Linked DNA regions of Sus scrofa. Each later gene encodes a partner of the first gene's protein in a complex. Links are inferred from orthologs where the notes say so. Each region holds a gene or a part of one and is shown on either strand. Other genes may lie near its edges.

Region 1 (4,257 bases):
GAAGTGGATTTTGATGGGTGTGTCCACAGACTCTCTGGGAGTCAAAGGGTGGGACCAGCTGAGAGCCAGTCGGGGACACACTGCAAAGAGGAACCAACCTTCAGGCGGGAGAATCGGTCCCCTTGGGTCCTGTGACATTGTGCAGTTCGGGACCTGTCTGGTGTGGGCAGCAGGTGGTGTTTGTGTAATAGATTTGACTGAAAAGGCAAAAGTGGAGGAAGCTGTGGTGAGGAGGTGGTTTTTCCTTTTAATGAAATTTATTAGAAACTACGGTGAACCTGCCTCTAAGAGCACCCGAGTTTCCTTTCACTTTGTTTTAGTGGAAGAGTCAGTTTCATCAAAGACTCCCTCAGTGTCCAAGGCCACCTAATCAAAACTTTTCAGGGTTTGGTGTCTTCCAGGGGTCTTGAAATCCTAAGACGTCCTGGGGCTGCCGCACAGGGATTTTACTGGGGTCAGAGGCAAAGAGAACAGGTTTGGGTGGGAGGTATTGTATGAGCAGACACAGCTTTTTTATTTACTTAGTTTTTTGTCTTTTGTCTTTTTAGGGCCACACCCACAGCATATGGCGGCTCCCAGGCTAGGGGTCTAATCGGAGCCATAGCTGCCAGCCTGCACCACAGCCACAGCAAGGCCAGATCCGAGCTGTCTGTGACCTACACCACAGCTCATGGCAATGCCAGATCCTTAACCCACTGAGCGAGGCCAGGGATCGAACCCGCAACCTCATGGTTCCCAGTTGGATTCATTTCCGCTGCGCCATGACGGGAACTCCACACTCTTTTGATCCCTTTAAAACATGTACTGATTTGTGAACATTCTCAAGAGTCCTTTATTTTTGCTTCTGGCGAAATAATGCATTGCTGCCTTCCTCTAGCCCATGTTTTGTATCAAGTAGCTTCTGTGTCTCAGGTTTCGGCTCCCTGGTCTGTGCTCCTGACACCATGTGTGTACAGCTGCGGGGTCTTTGCTGTTGGGGACTCGGGAGGGTTGGGTCTGTCCACATGGACGGGGCCGGGAACCCCTTGCTGAGGAGAAGCGGGAGTGTGCTCTAGGAGGCCCTGCCGCTGAGCTGCATGGCTGAGGCGCCTCGTCTAAGTTCCTTGAGCTTGTCTCTTCATTATTACTTGTTATTCAGAAAATAAGGAGCTGATGTTGAGTATAGCTACCTCACTTTAAAGGCGGGTCGGGTTTTTTTCTCCTATTCCAGGTGAAAACAAGTCACCTCCACGCCCGTGTGGCTTGAATCACTCGGACTCTCTGAGTCGCAGTGACCGGATCGATGCGATGACACCGACGTTGGGAAGCAGCAACAATCAGCTCAACTCTTCATTCCTCCAAGTCTACATCCCTGACTACTCAGTGCGAGCCCTCTCTGATCTCCAGTTTGTTAAGGTGAGAGAGGGGAGCGGCCTGGCAGCTGCAGCGTAGCTTCCACCGGGAGCATGGGCTGCCCAGCCTCCCCTGGTCCTCTTGCAGATGCCTGTCTCCAAGCTACTTATGCCCCATGACTCAGGCTGGGAAGACCCTCCATCTTCTTGGCTCTGTCCGCTGGGCTGCCGCATCAATGTGGCTTTTTCAGGGAGCGAGAGCTGGAGATGGTGAGAAAAAGAGTAAACCCTTCTAGCCGGTCCTTCAGAGCTCCCCACACAAGGAGCCTGAAGAGACCTGTCAGAATACCTGCTGCCCTGGAGACCAGGTTCTTCCCTCAGTCTGAAATAAAGGCAGCCTGGGGGCACTGGCCAGCTCTAGCTCATGGACGCCAATCTCCATTTCTAGTCGCTGGGCAATTTTGAGATAAAATCTGGAAATGGCATACATATATCAGTAAAAACTGACTTGTTCACTAAAGTCGACTTGACCTTTAAAAGGCTTAAAAGGCTCGGTTTATACTCAAGGATGGTTTTCTCCTGGAGCAACCGCGAGGGGCCTGTAGGGGGATTTAAGGTATAATTAATACCATGTGGAGATAGGAGCCAAAAAATAAACATTATTGTGGTTTGTTTTCTGCACTATTTCCTGGCCCCAGATCTCAAGACAGCAGTACCAAAATGCCTTGATGGCATCCCGGATGGACAAAACTCCTCAGTCTTCAGACAGTGAAAACACTAAAATTGAATTGACTCTTACCGAGCTGCACGACGGGTTGCCGGACGAGACGGCCAACCTGCTCAATGAACAGAACTGTGTGACGCACAGCAAGGCCAACCACAGCCTGCACAGCGAAGGCGCCATCTAATGTCCCTCCCTGGCCCTGGCCCTGGCCCCAACCTGAGGCCCGGCCTCCTCCATCTGACCGTGAATCCCATTAGTGTGAGCTTGCGTGCCATGCTGCATCCTGCAACATCCTGAGACCAAAGACTTTGTCCCCTTCCTGGAAGCAGCAGAGGAGGTTGGGGAGGGCAGGAATGGATACCCGAGATGTGAACCTGACAGCCAGAGCGTGGCATTCGAAATTATGGAGATGAACTTCTTCCGCCCTAATAGAATCATGTTTATTTTTTCAGCTGTACCTTTTACCATTATTCACGCTCCTCCTCCCTTAATTTGCATGGAGTTGAAAATTGTTGCGAGAGTTACTATTTTTTTCCCCCCCGAGAGATCATGTTTTTAAAAAGTATCTTTTGCAGAGTTTGAAGTTGTTCTGTCTGAACTCTGCCGTGACCCCATGATGTGACCCTGAGAGGATGGACTTGCCCCTCCAGGTGGCCTGCCTTGGGCCCCCTGGGGAGAGGCACCCTTCCTCTGTGCCCCAGGGGGTGTCGCTGTCGAACTTGAAGGATGAATGAAGAAAGCCGCGTGGGCACCGACCTGACAAGGCTGTGGGCACTGTGGGGCGGCGCCCGCACGGGGACCCGCACTCGCTGATCTGAGCTCAGTGTTGTTTTAAGTTAATGTTTAACGGTGTCCCTTTCCCTCAGAAAGGTTTAACGCTTGCTTGGAATGTGATCTTGCTCCCACTCTAAGGAATTTTTATCACCAAAATGAATGTTAATGAATTTTACACCCATGGTTTATCATTGGCAAGAGGCAAGGTGGCTTCACGCGACATTCCCACAACCTGGCCTCTTCCCCGCCCTGGCTTACCGAGCGCCGTCGCCCACCGCCCCATCCTTGCTCTTGTAAACCCGAGATGCTGCTACACAGATGCCAAATGGAAATCTTCCACAGGGCTCTTGAGTAAACTCGCGGTATGGTGTCCACGCCCCTCCCCTGCCCGCTGTCACTGTCAGAAAACAAGTGGGACCTTCCAGCTGTGCTCTGTGCTCTGCGCCAGGAGGGCATCTTTAGACCCATGTGTTTAAAGGAGAGAACTCTGGGGCCTGCAGCCCTGCCCCTCCTTCCAGGGAGCCAACTGTCCCTCTTCCCCTCTGTCCCTGGGCCCATGGGGCCCAGCAGTGGCCGTGTCCCCGCCCGAGGACCTCTGTGCCTCCCGCCTCAGACGCGGTCCACGCCAGAGAGGCTGCCTGTACAGCCAGGGTCGGTTGGCCCCAAACAGGGATTCAGAAACCAAATGTGTGTTGTGGCCATTTCGTGTGTGTCTCTGTCTTATTTTAATACCAAATTCATCACGTGTAGTGAAATTAATGTCAGGCGGTATTTCTTGAGTGACTGAGCTCTTAATTATCTTATCTGTGTTTTAAGTGTTAACCCAAGGGAGACGTGCATTTTGTCGGCAACATTTATACACTGAAATGAATTGCTCCTGAGCGCTGTTTTCACATAGAACTGTCAGTCTGCGCTGCATCCAGTCACTAGGCGAGAGGATAGCCTTTTCTCCAGTGGGTCCCACTGAGCAAAGGGCAGCCCTGGGGCTAAGCAGCAGTTCTCTTCTCCTTCGTCCAGGTAGGATGGTGCTCCCCAGGCTGGGCTCTGCCGGGCGGGAGCTGTGGGTGGCGGGGGGGAGGCCAGCAGTGTGTGCTGGGCTTGCTTTCCAGCCAGCAGCTCAGTGGCTTCAGTGTCAGATGCGCCCCTGGCTCAGCATTTCTTCTGGAACCTCAGTCAGGGAGTGGCTTCCTCAGAAGGTACCACATCCCTCAGGGAAGTACTGGCCTCACCTGGTGGACATCAGGGCGCCCCCTAACGGAACCCAGGCCTGCTGCTGGTGTCCAAGCTGCTATGGTGGAACTTGACATTAGTGGGGTGCAGCACTGCAAGTGCCCCCTTTTGTAAACAAATCTATCCAGACGTAAAGGCCTCACTTTCTAATGATGTGTCTTGCTGAGGACAATGCCAGCTTGGCGTGACATGGCATCC
Region 2 (5,014 bases), on another chromosome or scaffold:
TGACTATGTGCCAGGCACTGTTCTAAATGCATAACAGTAACTATTAATCCTAATAGCCCAGTGATGTATGCGTTTGTTTCCTTATCTATCAAATGGGGTAAATAAGTTACAGAGAAGTTACGTAACACGCCTGAGGTCACAGAACTGGAAAGAGGTAAAGCTAAGATTCAAACCCGGGCAGCTGGCTATAGCACGTATACTGTTAACAACTATACACAAAACAGCATGATAAATACCAGCATATAAATATGCATAAGTGCTTCAGCCACAGAGAGGAGGGCACTATCTTCAAATTAAGGGTAGTTAAGAAGTGTTTCGACATAATACCCTCTGTGATTTTGAATGTTATCATGTTGAATTGATACATCAACTTGAGAATTACACCTCTAAAACAGTCTTTCCATCCATGAACATCACATGTATTCAAGTTTTAGATTTCTCTCACAATCCTATGGTCGTAAGGATTATGTTTAGGTGCCTTTAGAATTTCTACTTTAAAGGTTATTTTAAAATACATCTCCTGGAGAAAAAGGAACCCTATTGCACTGTTGGTGGGATTGTAAATTGGTGCAACCACTGTGGAAAACAGTGTGGAGATTCCTCAGAAAACTAAACGTAGAACTACCATTTGATCCAGCAATCCCACTCCTGGGCATCTATGCAGAGAAAACCATGACTCGAAAAGACACACATACTCCAGTGTTCATTGCAGCACTCTTTTCAATAGCCAAGACATGGGAACAACCTAAATGTCCATCGACAGAGGAGTGGATCAAGAAGATGTGGCACATATACACAATGGAATATTACTCAGCCATTAAAAGGAACGAGATACTGGCATTTTTTAGCAACATGGATGGACCTAGAAATTATCATGCTAAGTGAGGTGAGCCATACCATGAGACACCAACATCAAATGTTTTCACTGACATGTGAAATCTGAAAAAAGGACAGACTGAACTTCTTTATAGAACAGATGCTGACTCACAGATTTTGAAAAACTTATGGTCTCCAGAGGAGACAGTTTGGGGGGTTTAGGGATGTGGTTGGGTTGTGGGATGGAAATCCTGTGAAACTGGATTGTGATGATCATTGTTAAAAAAATTAAAGATAAAAAAATGAAAAATAAATAAATAAATAAATAAAAGTGTTCTTTCCAAAAATAAAAAAATTAAAAAAATAAAATACATCTCCTAACTTTGTTGCTAAGTAACTAGAAACCCAATTTTATATTGATTTTTAAGGAGTAACACGATTTTTTCATTTTAATAACTGATATGTAGATTTGTGTTTTACACACACGACCACAATCTGCAGATGAGCTGTTTGCTTCTTTCCATTTTTATTGTTTATATTTTTGTCTGATAATGCTGTCCAGGGCCTTTGCTATAACAGCACAGAAGCAGTGATAATTGGCACCCTTATCTTTTTCCTGACTTTAAAGCAAAGGCTTTTAAATGTTGTATCATTGAATACACTTGTGTAAGGTTTTTGTAACTATCCCTCACAATCTGAATATATTGCCAACCTGGAATGTTGTTAAGGGCTGAATTGCCTACTCCCACCCCCAAATACACAGGTTCAAGTGCTAACCCCCGTACCTCAGATAGTGATTGGGTAGGCAGATAGGGCTGTTGAGGAGGTAATTAAGTAAAAATGAGGAGGTCATGGTGGACCCTAAGCCAATTTGACTGGAGCCTTTATAAGGGGAGGAGCTTTAGGCCGCAAAGAGCAGCCCACGTTAGGGGGGTACGCATCGGTGGAGGTGAGGACTCGGAGAAGGCGTGTGTCTGCCGGCTGGGGAGAGAGGCCTCAGAAGAGACCAACTCTGGAATAGCTGTAAGATTGGAACTTTTTGTTCTGGATTGTTTATTAGAACTTGATTGTACACTGTGGCGTGGCGCTTCTGTAGGAAGGTTTTAAAATTGCTATTTCTTTAATGGTAATGTGTCTTTTTCACTTAAAGTTGTGCACATTTGTGGTGTTTTGGGTCTGAAAATTGGGTTATAGAAGCTTTGCTAGAATTACTTGATAATTTCTTCCCACCAGCATTACTGTTTTTCTTTCTTTGTTTTGAAACATCTAAGTGGGTTTTATGTCTCCAGGTTGATATGCTAATTTCCTTTACCCAACTGCTTTTCATTTACCTTTTTGGTGATTTCCTTAGCTTTCTTCTACTCCTACTGAATTTACTCTTTGCTTTTAGGTTCTACCTGGTATCTGTGAGGTCAAACCCTTTCCAGTTTAATCTCAGAAGGAAACTTTCATGCTGGTCTTTGTTCAGGGCACTGGTGGGATGGTGACCTGGCTTTGCAGAGTGGGGCAGATCAATGGGCTCAAGTGAGTCTTTAAGACTCACAGCTGGAGTTCTCTTGTGGCACAGTGGATTAAGGATATGGTGGTGTTACTGCTGTGGCTTGAGACGCTGCTGCAGTGTGGGTTCAAAATGCCACAAGAGTGGCCAAAAATAAAAATTAAAAACAACAACAGCAAAAAATAAGACTCACGCCAGTTTGGTATTTTCAGCCTCAGGTGCTTCTTTTCCCTGAGCTGCTGGGAGCCCTGTAGCGGGAATCGGCTTGCTTCTCTCTGGCTTTCTCCACTCAAGAATTGAGGAGTCAACCTTTTCTCTGTTCTGTCTTGTTAACTGCCACCTCTGTAGCCACTATCTTACAAAATGGTTCATCTCTCATAAGCTCATGTCTCTAATTCTATCTTTGTGGATCTCATTCTTTTACTGCCAAATGGAGGTGAGGGAGTTGTCTTAATACTTCTACAGCAGTCAAAGGGGTGAAGAGTTACTCTGTAAATAGGGAAGGAAATTCTTTATCTTATTAATATGTGGTACTGGGAACTTTATTTCATCTGACTTTTGCTGTGAGATTTCAGGATGTTGATTGTGGGGTCAGGTGGATTTGTTAACTTTTCTCTTCACTCTCAGAGCTGCCCATCTCAGAAGGTACTAAGTATGTTCAAGCAGTGACACAATGACACAACAGGGTTGGTTGTAGTAAATGGCAAAGTCCACATGCTTAGCAACCCACCAGTCTTGAATGGTGTAAGGGCTATATGTAAGGTACCAAGCTAGGCTACCGAAAGAAGTTCACATACCACAAGCAGCTGACAAGGAGAAGCAAAATTCAAGAAAGGACTCATGCAGTTGCCTGGCGTGTAATGAGCTGATAGTTTGCAGCTGTCAGCTCTTTCAGGCTCTGCTTCAACCTTGGGGTTGGTACTTTTCTTGGGATTCTTCCTTCTTGAAGTTGCCCCCTCAACCAATGACGAAACAAGTTGCTGGTACAAAGGTCTAGCTGTTTCTGCCCAGCTTGGTCGTCTCTATTGGGCAATTTTTGCTTGGGAGTTCCCAGTAGAGGCTTTGTTAGGTGTGTATAATGTTCTGTGGTTACTTGCTACCCCCATCTTAATCCCACAGCTATTTTCTTTCACAGGTGCTGTATGTTAATAAACCTTCTGTATTTCTAATTCTTTGTCAGTGTTTGCTTCCCTGAAGGCCCAACTTGTACCAACATGAAACACAGTATCTATAAAGTCTTTGAGGAAGAGAAGATGTTCAGAAAAATAAAACAATAAAAACAATTTAAACAGTAAAAAAGTGTCTATCATTTACAAGAATGATCTGAATTGTCAACTTTGAGACTGTAAAAGATATGATTTGGCTTTTGGGGTCATAGGTGTTATGAAGGCAGGCATGTCAGTTTGTTTACAGAAGGTTTTTAAGTTGTAATTTTTAAAAGAAATGACTAGGTCTTCTTGGGTTATGGGAAGGAAATCCTGTAAAATTGGATTATTATCATTATATAATTACAAATGTGATAAAGTCATTTGAGTAATAAAAAATGACTAGGTCTTTTTAACATTATTAAAGTTCCTAGGGAATTAATATATTACATTTCATTATCTTGAACTATGTTTTAATATGTTCTTGATTAGGGTATACTAAGGACATATTACAATCTGTTTCTTGAAAACAGACTTCTAATCCAATGGCAATTGGTTTTTAAGGTTTGGTTAATTTCCAGTCAGAATTGATCTTTTAATATGAGTTTAAGTGGCTGATCTCAGTCTTGAAAGCATCTTTATTTTTCAAAAAGCATTTTTTCACATGTTGAAATAACTATCAAGAAATAAGGTGGTTGTGTGTGTGTGTGGTTTTCTGTTTGTTTGTTTTCAGGGCTGCACCTGTAGCATATGGAGGTTCCCAGGCTAGGGGTCCAGTCGGAGCTACGGCCACCGGCCTACACCACAGCAACACAGGATCTGAGCCGTGTCTTCGACCTACACCACAGCTCAAGGCAATGTCAGATCCTTAACCCACTGAGGAGGCCAGGGATCGAACCTGCAGCAACCTCATAGTTCGTAGTTGGATTTGTTTCTGCTGTGCCACAACGGGAACTCCACAATGAGCATATGTTATAGTTGATGATAAATAGCTGATTTTTCTGGTTTACCGTCCTTATTTCCTTATAATATGGCTATCAAGTAGGGCTTAGGATCTTCGTTATTCAAAGACTTTCAAAGAAGGTAGCATGCTATTCTTTCATGCAAGATAAAGTAGTGCAGATGTTTCATTTCACAGAAGATTCAAAACTACCCTAAACATTGTACAATTATAATCAGATTTTATCCTTCAATATTCTTAGACTAGAAAAACTAGTGGGGTTCAAAAGTTGTGGAGAGTGAAAGACTAATAAAAATTATGAGAAGCAAAACAGTTTTTTATAAGAACTCATAGTTAAATGTTAGAGGAAGGAGATAGCATTCATATTTGACCAATTCTAGAAATGACAGAACAGTAGAAAGTCTAGCTATTGGTGAGGAAGGAAAAGAAAAGAGAGAAACAGGACCGAAGAAAAACTTCATATTGATGTCATCAAAAAAAATGGAGACCAAAGGTACAACAAAACAGCATTATTCATAATAACTGAAATGTGGAAACAGCCCAAATGGCCATCAATGGACAAATGGGTAAATGTTATATCCATACAATAGAATA
Region 3 (4,739 bases), on another chromosome or scaffold:
GTTTTATTTGGTGAATATTCCTTATACACATTCTTTTATTAATTATTCCTTTTAATAGCTGTTTCCTTTACATTGTTATAAACTACCATGCACAGGAGTTCCTGTCCTTGTGGCTCAGCAGTTAAGGAACCCAACTAGTATCCCTAAGAACGCAGGTTCGATCCTTGGTCTCACTCAGTGGATTAAGCATCCAACACTACTGTAAGCTGTGGTGTAGGCTGGCAGCTACAGCTCCAATTCAACCCCTAGCTTGGCACTTCCATATGCCACAAGTGCAGCCATAAAAAGACAAAAACAAACAAAAAACCAGGTGCAACTTTCTATACCGATTTTTCCAAAATATTAACACATTACAAACTTCATGAATACTCGAAAGCTGTTAGTCTTTGTGTAATTCACTTATTCCTTTAAAGACTTAACCAATATTCTCAAGAGAAAAACAAAACAAAACAAAACTGGTTTTCAAAACACTTACATACACGCCATCTCATTTGATTCTTAATTTATCATTCCCCTTTAACAGATTATCTCTCATTTGAGACTTTGGAAGTTAACCAACTTGTTATGTGAAGTATTACAAAGAAATGTATATACATAAATAATTCCCACTTATAACTATAAAAAAGCTGTTCATAATTTCAGTAAAAATTTTTTGATTGTAAAGCCCAAATTCCACTTATTCCATCTTTAACTAAAATCTAATCCAAAGAAAAGAGAGAAGGAGGTGGGGGGGAGGGGCTGAGGGCAGTGGTGTAAATTCCATTTTTTTCTCCCATGTCTCAAGAGCAAGATTACTACTACTACCAATCATGTTTTTCCTAAGGTCTTCTTAAGAAACCAAAACAGTTTTATGCCAATGTCAAATATTAAATGAATATTCACAGGGTATTTTCAGAATGAATACACAAAAAGCATTGATATTGCTGTTGCTCTTCTTCCAAGTACTTTATAAGGAGCTTGTGTGTAGTGTGGTTGGGAGTAAACAAAGGACAAACATTAAGAACAGGTTAATAACAGCACCAAGAACCAGCCACTGCCCCAAACACTTTACCTGAGACTGCAGTAACTGAAGTAATTCCAATTATATTTTCTACCTCAAATCCTAAATACTACTTCCTTGGAATAAAAAGTGTCTTCTGGCACCTTCCCAATGACGATAAATTAATTTGCAAAGCTGTTAAGGTCAAAGACTCTAATCTCAGTATTCTGACTTCCAGGTACTACTTTTTTCAAGTTAAAGGCGATCTGTAGAGAAACACACAATACTACTTCCATACTTAACTAAAATTCCTGTTACAGCTGTCTGGCCATATCCCTTCAACTAGCAATTTCTCACAAGGAAGCACAGAAAGCAATACAGAAATAATTCTTTCAGTGGACTGGATAGAGCCACCCAGTAGGGGACAGACGGGTGATGAATTTCCACAAAAGCGGAAGTGACTGTGCACACCTAACACCTTTCTGTTCTGCCCAGGACTTCCCCATTCCCAATGTCTTCGCCCCAGGAAAACCTATCCATGATAGGCAATCTAGAAATACCAAGGAATTTTTTCTTCTTCCACTTATCAGTTGTACATAATCACAATAATCTGTGTTAACTATTTTATCAGATGGTAGGTAGTTGCAATTTGTGCCTCATCTACCTATACCTTAGGCAATGCACCTGGAATATAACAAGTATAAAATGCTGATTAGTTTTCAGAATGATCTAGCTTTCTGATTTTCAACTTTTTCACTGCCACCAAACAAAATTCACATATAGAGTAACGGGAAGCACTGGCTCATAATCTAGATCTCAAGCAAATCGATAGTTCTAACTGCAGTGTAAATAACGATGAAATACATTTGGAACCGCAGAGGGTTCCACGGACAGAGATAAACCTCAGAATTCTGGCTCTGGCTGGGCCCTGCGATGCAAGCCAACAGGAGGCAACAAACACAGCACATCTGGGGTTTCAGGAAGTTCTAAGGGTGCCGGATTAAAAGGCGGCACCGGGCCCCCTTGGCTTCGCGCAGTGCGGCCCGGAAGCTTCCCCAGGCTCAGACCCAGGCCGCTTCCCTCCTGCCCCGCCCCGGAGCAGGGACGAGCCCGGACTTGCTCCCATTGTCCGGAGCCGGTGGGGCGGGGCGGGCCGCTCACCTGGTGGGGCCGCGCGGGCCCGGGTCACGGGTTCGCGCCGCGTCTTCAGTCCGGCGCCGAGGCCATTTTGTCCGAGCGCCGGCCGCAGCCGCGGGGCCCTGGGTGGCCGCACAGGCCCAATCCCGCCGGCTCCGCGAAGGAGTCCGGCCCAGCCCGCGAGCAGCCGCCTCGCCCACCCGCCCGCAGGGTCTGGGGGCGCGCCCGCTGCAGTGACGCGCAACCCGCGCCCCACCCGGGCCACGTCCCCGCTCCCGGGCCCTGCGGCAGACAAAGGGGCCTTGGGGCGCCGCCGGGTGCCGGAGCGAGGTGGTGGTCACAAAGCGGCTCCCGTGCCACCGCGCAGCCCGGCGCCCCGGGCTTGGCCCTCAGCGCTCGCCCGCCAGTACCAGCGGGACCCGGGCGGAGCCAGGCTCCGAACAAAGGCGGCGGCACGGGGTACGGGTACTCACAGGAATATGTCTACTCATTGAAGATTGTGGCTTAATCATACAGCCGGTCCCGAGGCGGCGGCGACACAGGCGGCAGCGGTAGGGCAGGGGTGGCGGTGGTCCTCGCGGGCTAGCGGCGGCTTCGCTGGAGGCAGCGAGGGCAGTGGACTCGATCCTGCAGCGAGCGGCTCCGGGGAGAGCGCGCAGCCTCGCCGGCCCGCAGCCCAATGAGCCAATACGTGCGCCGAGGCGCCCTTGCGTCACAAGCCCTCTTATTTATAGCAAGAGTGACGTGAACGCCCAGGCGGCCAATCGCAGTCGGGCCTCAATCCTAGCGCCGACGAGCGGGGGCGGAGGCCCGCCTCGCCGACGTCACAGCGCGGCGGCGGCCGCCGGTGTGAACCGGTTGATGAATGGCGACCGGCTGCAATCAGAGCGCCTACCAGGCGGGGGTGGGAAGGGTCATTGGAGGGTCTGCAGGGGAAGCCCCGTACGGGGATGAGAGGCTGCTCTACGTAACTAAACCCCTGACGAGTGCACTCTCATCTCAGGAGGAGGCCCGAAGTTGGCCTCAACTAGAATGCAGTGCACTTCGGACTGGAGCGTAGTCTCAATCCCAGGCCTACTTCTTTTGCCGTAAGTCAGATCCCAGTCATTTTGACCAGCGGTTTGCCTGGGCACCTGCGCCCTGCGATCCCCAACGTGAAATCTTCCTGTGGCTCCACCTGCCCGCGACAACACCTGTGATGTTTCGGTCCTGCCCCCGGTAGCGCGAGCGGAGAGGACTTATTTCAGCAAACATTCGTGTATAGAAAACGGAGAGTGTCTTGTGATGCAGATAAAGCCCTCTGTTCCCCAGTCTTTTTTGGTCACGCCTTCATGCTACGCACGCGGGCAACTGTAGTTGGCTCAAGCGTGGCATTTCTAAATCACAGGCATCCTTTGTACTGCTGCTCACTTGATGTGTTGTCACAGATAATAAAAGGTTAGGCAGCGTTTTAAAAATTAAGAATCTTCGATTTTGCCAGACTGATGTGATTCTTTGCCTCAAAGCTATTGCTTTCCTTTTTGTTCATTTTCAGAACTGTTCCACTGTTCGTAATTTAGACTTTTAGGAAGTAAAGCCTTATCACAGTTGTTCTGTCTTGCACCCGGGCAATTCTGTCTTTTATGATCTGAAAACTCTTTCTCTTCTGGAAGGAGTAAACAGGAGTTTTACCTGCTTTGAAGAACTAGGTTTTCTACTCAGGCCTTTTGTTTGCTGTTTTCACTGAGCATAGATTGGAGAGGGCTTTAGGGATCAAATTGTTTTCTTGGTCAGTGTACTGCAGCATCTTAGGATTTATTAAAACGTCTACTTAAGAGACTGTGCTTGTGTAGACAACTTTTTAAAAATTTTTATTGGAGCATAGTTGATTTACAATGTGTTTCAGGTGTATAGCAAAGTGATTCAGTTATACCTATATCCCTTCTTTTCCCCACATAAATTATTACAGAATATTGAGTACAGTTCCCTGTGCTATACAGCAGGTCCTTGTCAGTTATCTGTTTTATAAAGAATATTGTGTATATGTTAATCCCAAACTCCTAATTTATCCCTCCTCCAACCTTTCTTCTCTGGTAACCATAAGTTTGTTTTAAAAGTCTGTGAATCTGTTTCGGTTTTGTAAATAAGTTCATTTATATCATTTTTTTTTTAGATTCCACATATAAATGATATTATGACATTTGTGATATTCAACTTTGTTTATAAGCATATACTCTGCAAACAAAGTGCTTTCAAAAAAATAAAGAACTGGATCAGGCAGGCTTTCACAGGAACAGAAGTCATCTTCATTTTAAAGAAATTGCTTGCCTAGGACACTTCTGAATCCATCTACATCAAGGAAGATTAAAGAGCTTGAGAAATATATGATGTCCCTTCACAAACTATAAACGAGTAAAAATGTAAATATTTAAAATCCTAAAAAAAATAGGAGTATTGAAAAAATTGTCCTAGGATGAGAGAAACCTTGTTAAGAAGATAAGGGAACTCAAGTCACAAAGGAAAAGTCAGATTTCATTATGTAAAAATTTAAAACTTTGATATGGAAAAGCTTGAGCAACATATACAATAGTGTAGGTAAAAAAATAAAAAAATAAAAATAAAAAAGGAGTTCCCGTTGTGGCTC

Evidence for each region. The genes of interacting proteins can lie anywhere in the genome.
Region 2: the proteins of CNNM2 (region 1) and ARL15 are in contact, whole or in part, in a crystal structure (PDB 8F6D), measured with the Homo sapiens proteins. The link is inferred for Sus scrofa from reciprocal best matches to the Homo sapiens genes CNNM2 and ARL15. Residues at the interface, in NP_060119.3 of Homo sapiens: Asn490, Val492, Pro521, Leu522, His523, Phe524, Val525, Phe526, Thr529, Glu537, Lys542, Ser543, Gln549; in NP_061960.1 of Homo sapiens: Tyr92, Ser94, Arg95, Gln98, Gln128, His129, Pro130, Gln131, Cys133.
Region 3: the proteins of CNNM2 (region 1) and PTP4A1 are in contact, whole or in part, in a crystal structure (PDB 5MMZ), measured with the Mus musculus proteins. The link is inferred for Sus scrofa from reciprocal best matches to the Homo sapiens genes CNNM2 and PTP4A1. Residues at the interface, in NP_291047.2 of Mus musculus: Phe526, Asp528, Val551, Asn553, Glu556, Gly557, Asp558, Pro559, Phe560, Tyr561; in NP_035330.1 of Mus musculus: Asp72, Gly73, Ala74, Gly107, Leu108, Gly109, Arg110, Arg137, Arg138, Gly139, Ala140, Phe141, Asn142, Lys144, Gln145.

What each region holds. Positions count from the first base shown.
Region 1 is NC_010456.5:114,050,379-114,054,635, forward strand, and holds part of CNNM2 (metal transporter CNNM2), read left to right. Parts: intron 1-1,210; coding exon 1,211-1,395; intron 1,396-2,029; coding exon 2,030-2,239; 3' UTR 2,240-4,257.
Region 2 is NC_010458.4:33,572,176-33,577,189, reverse strand, and holds the start of ARL15 (ADP-ribosylation factor-like protein 15), read left to right. Parts: upstream 1-1,641; 5' UTR 1,642-1,656; coding exon 1,657-1,839; intron 1,840-5,014.
Region 3 is NC_010443.5:45,168,547-45,173,285, reverse strand, and holds the start of PTP4A1 (protein tyrosine phosphatase type IVA 1), read right to left. Parts: upstream 3,374-4,739; 5' UTR 2,590-3,373; intron 1-2,589. UniProt on the Homo sapiens protein: Protein tyrosine phosphatase which stimulates progression from G1 into S phase during mitosis. May play a role in the development and maintenance of differentiating epithelial tissues.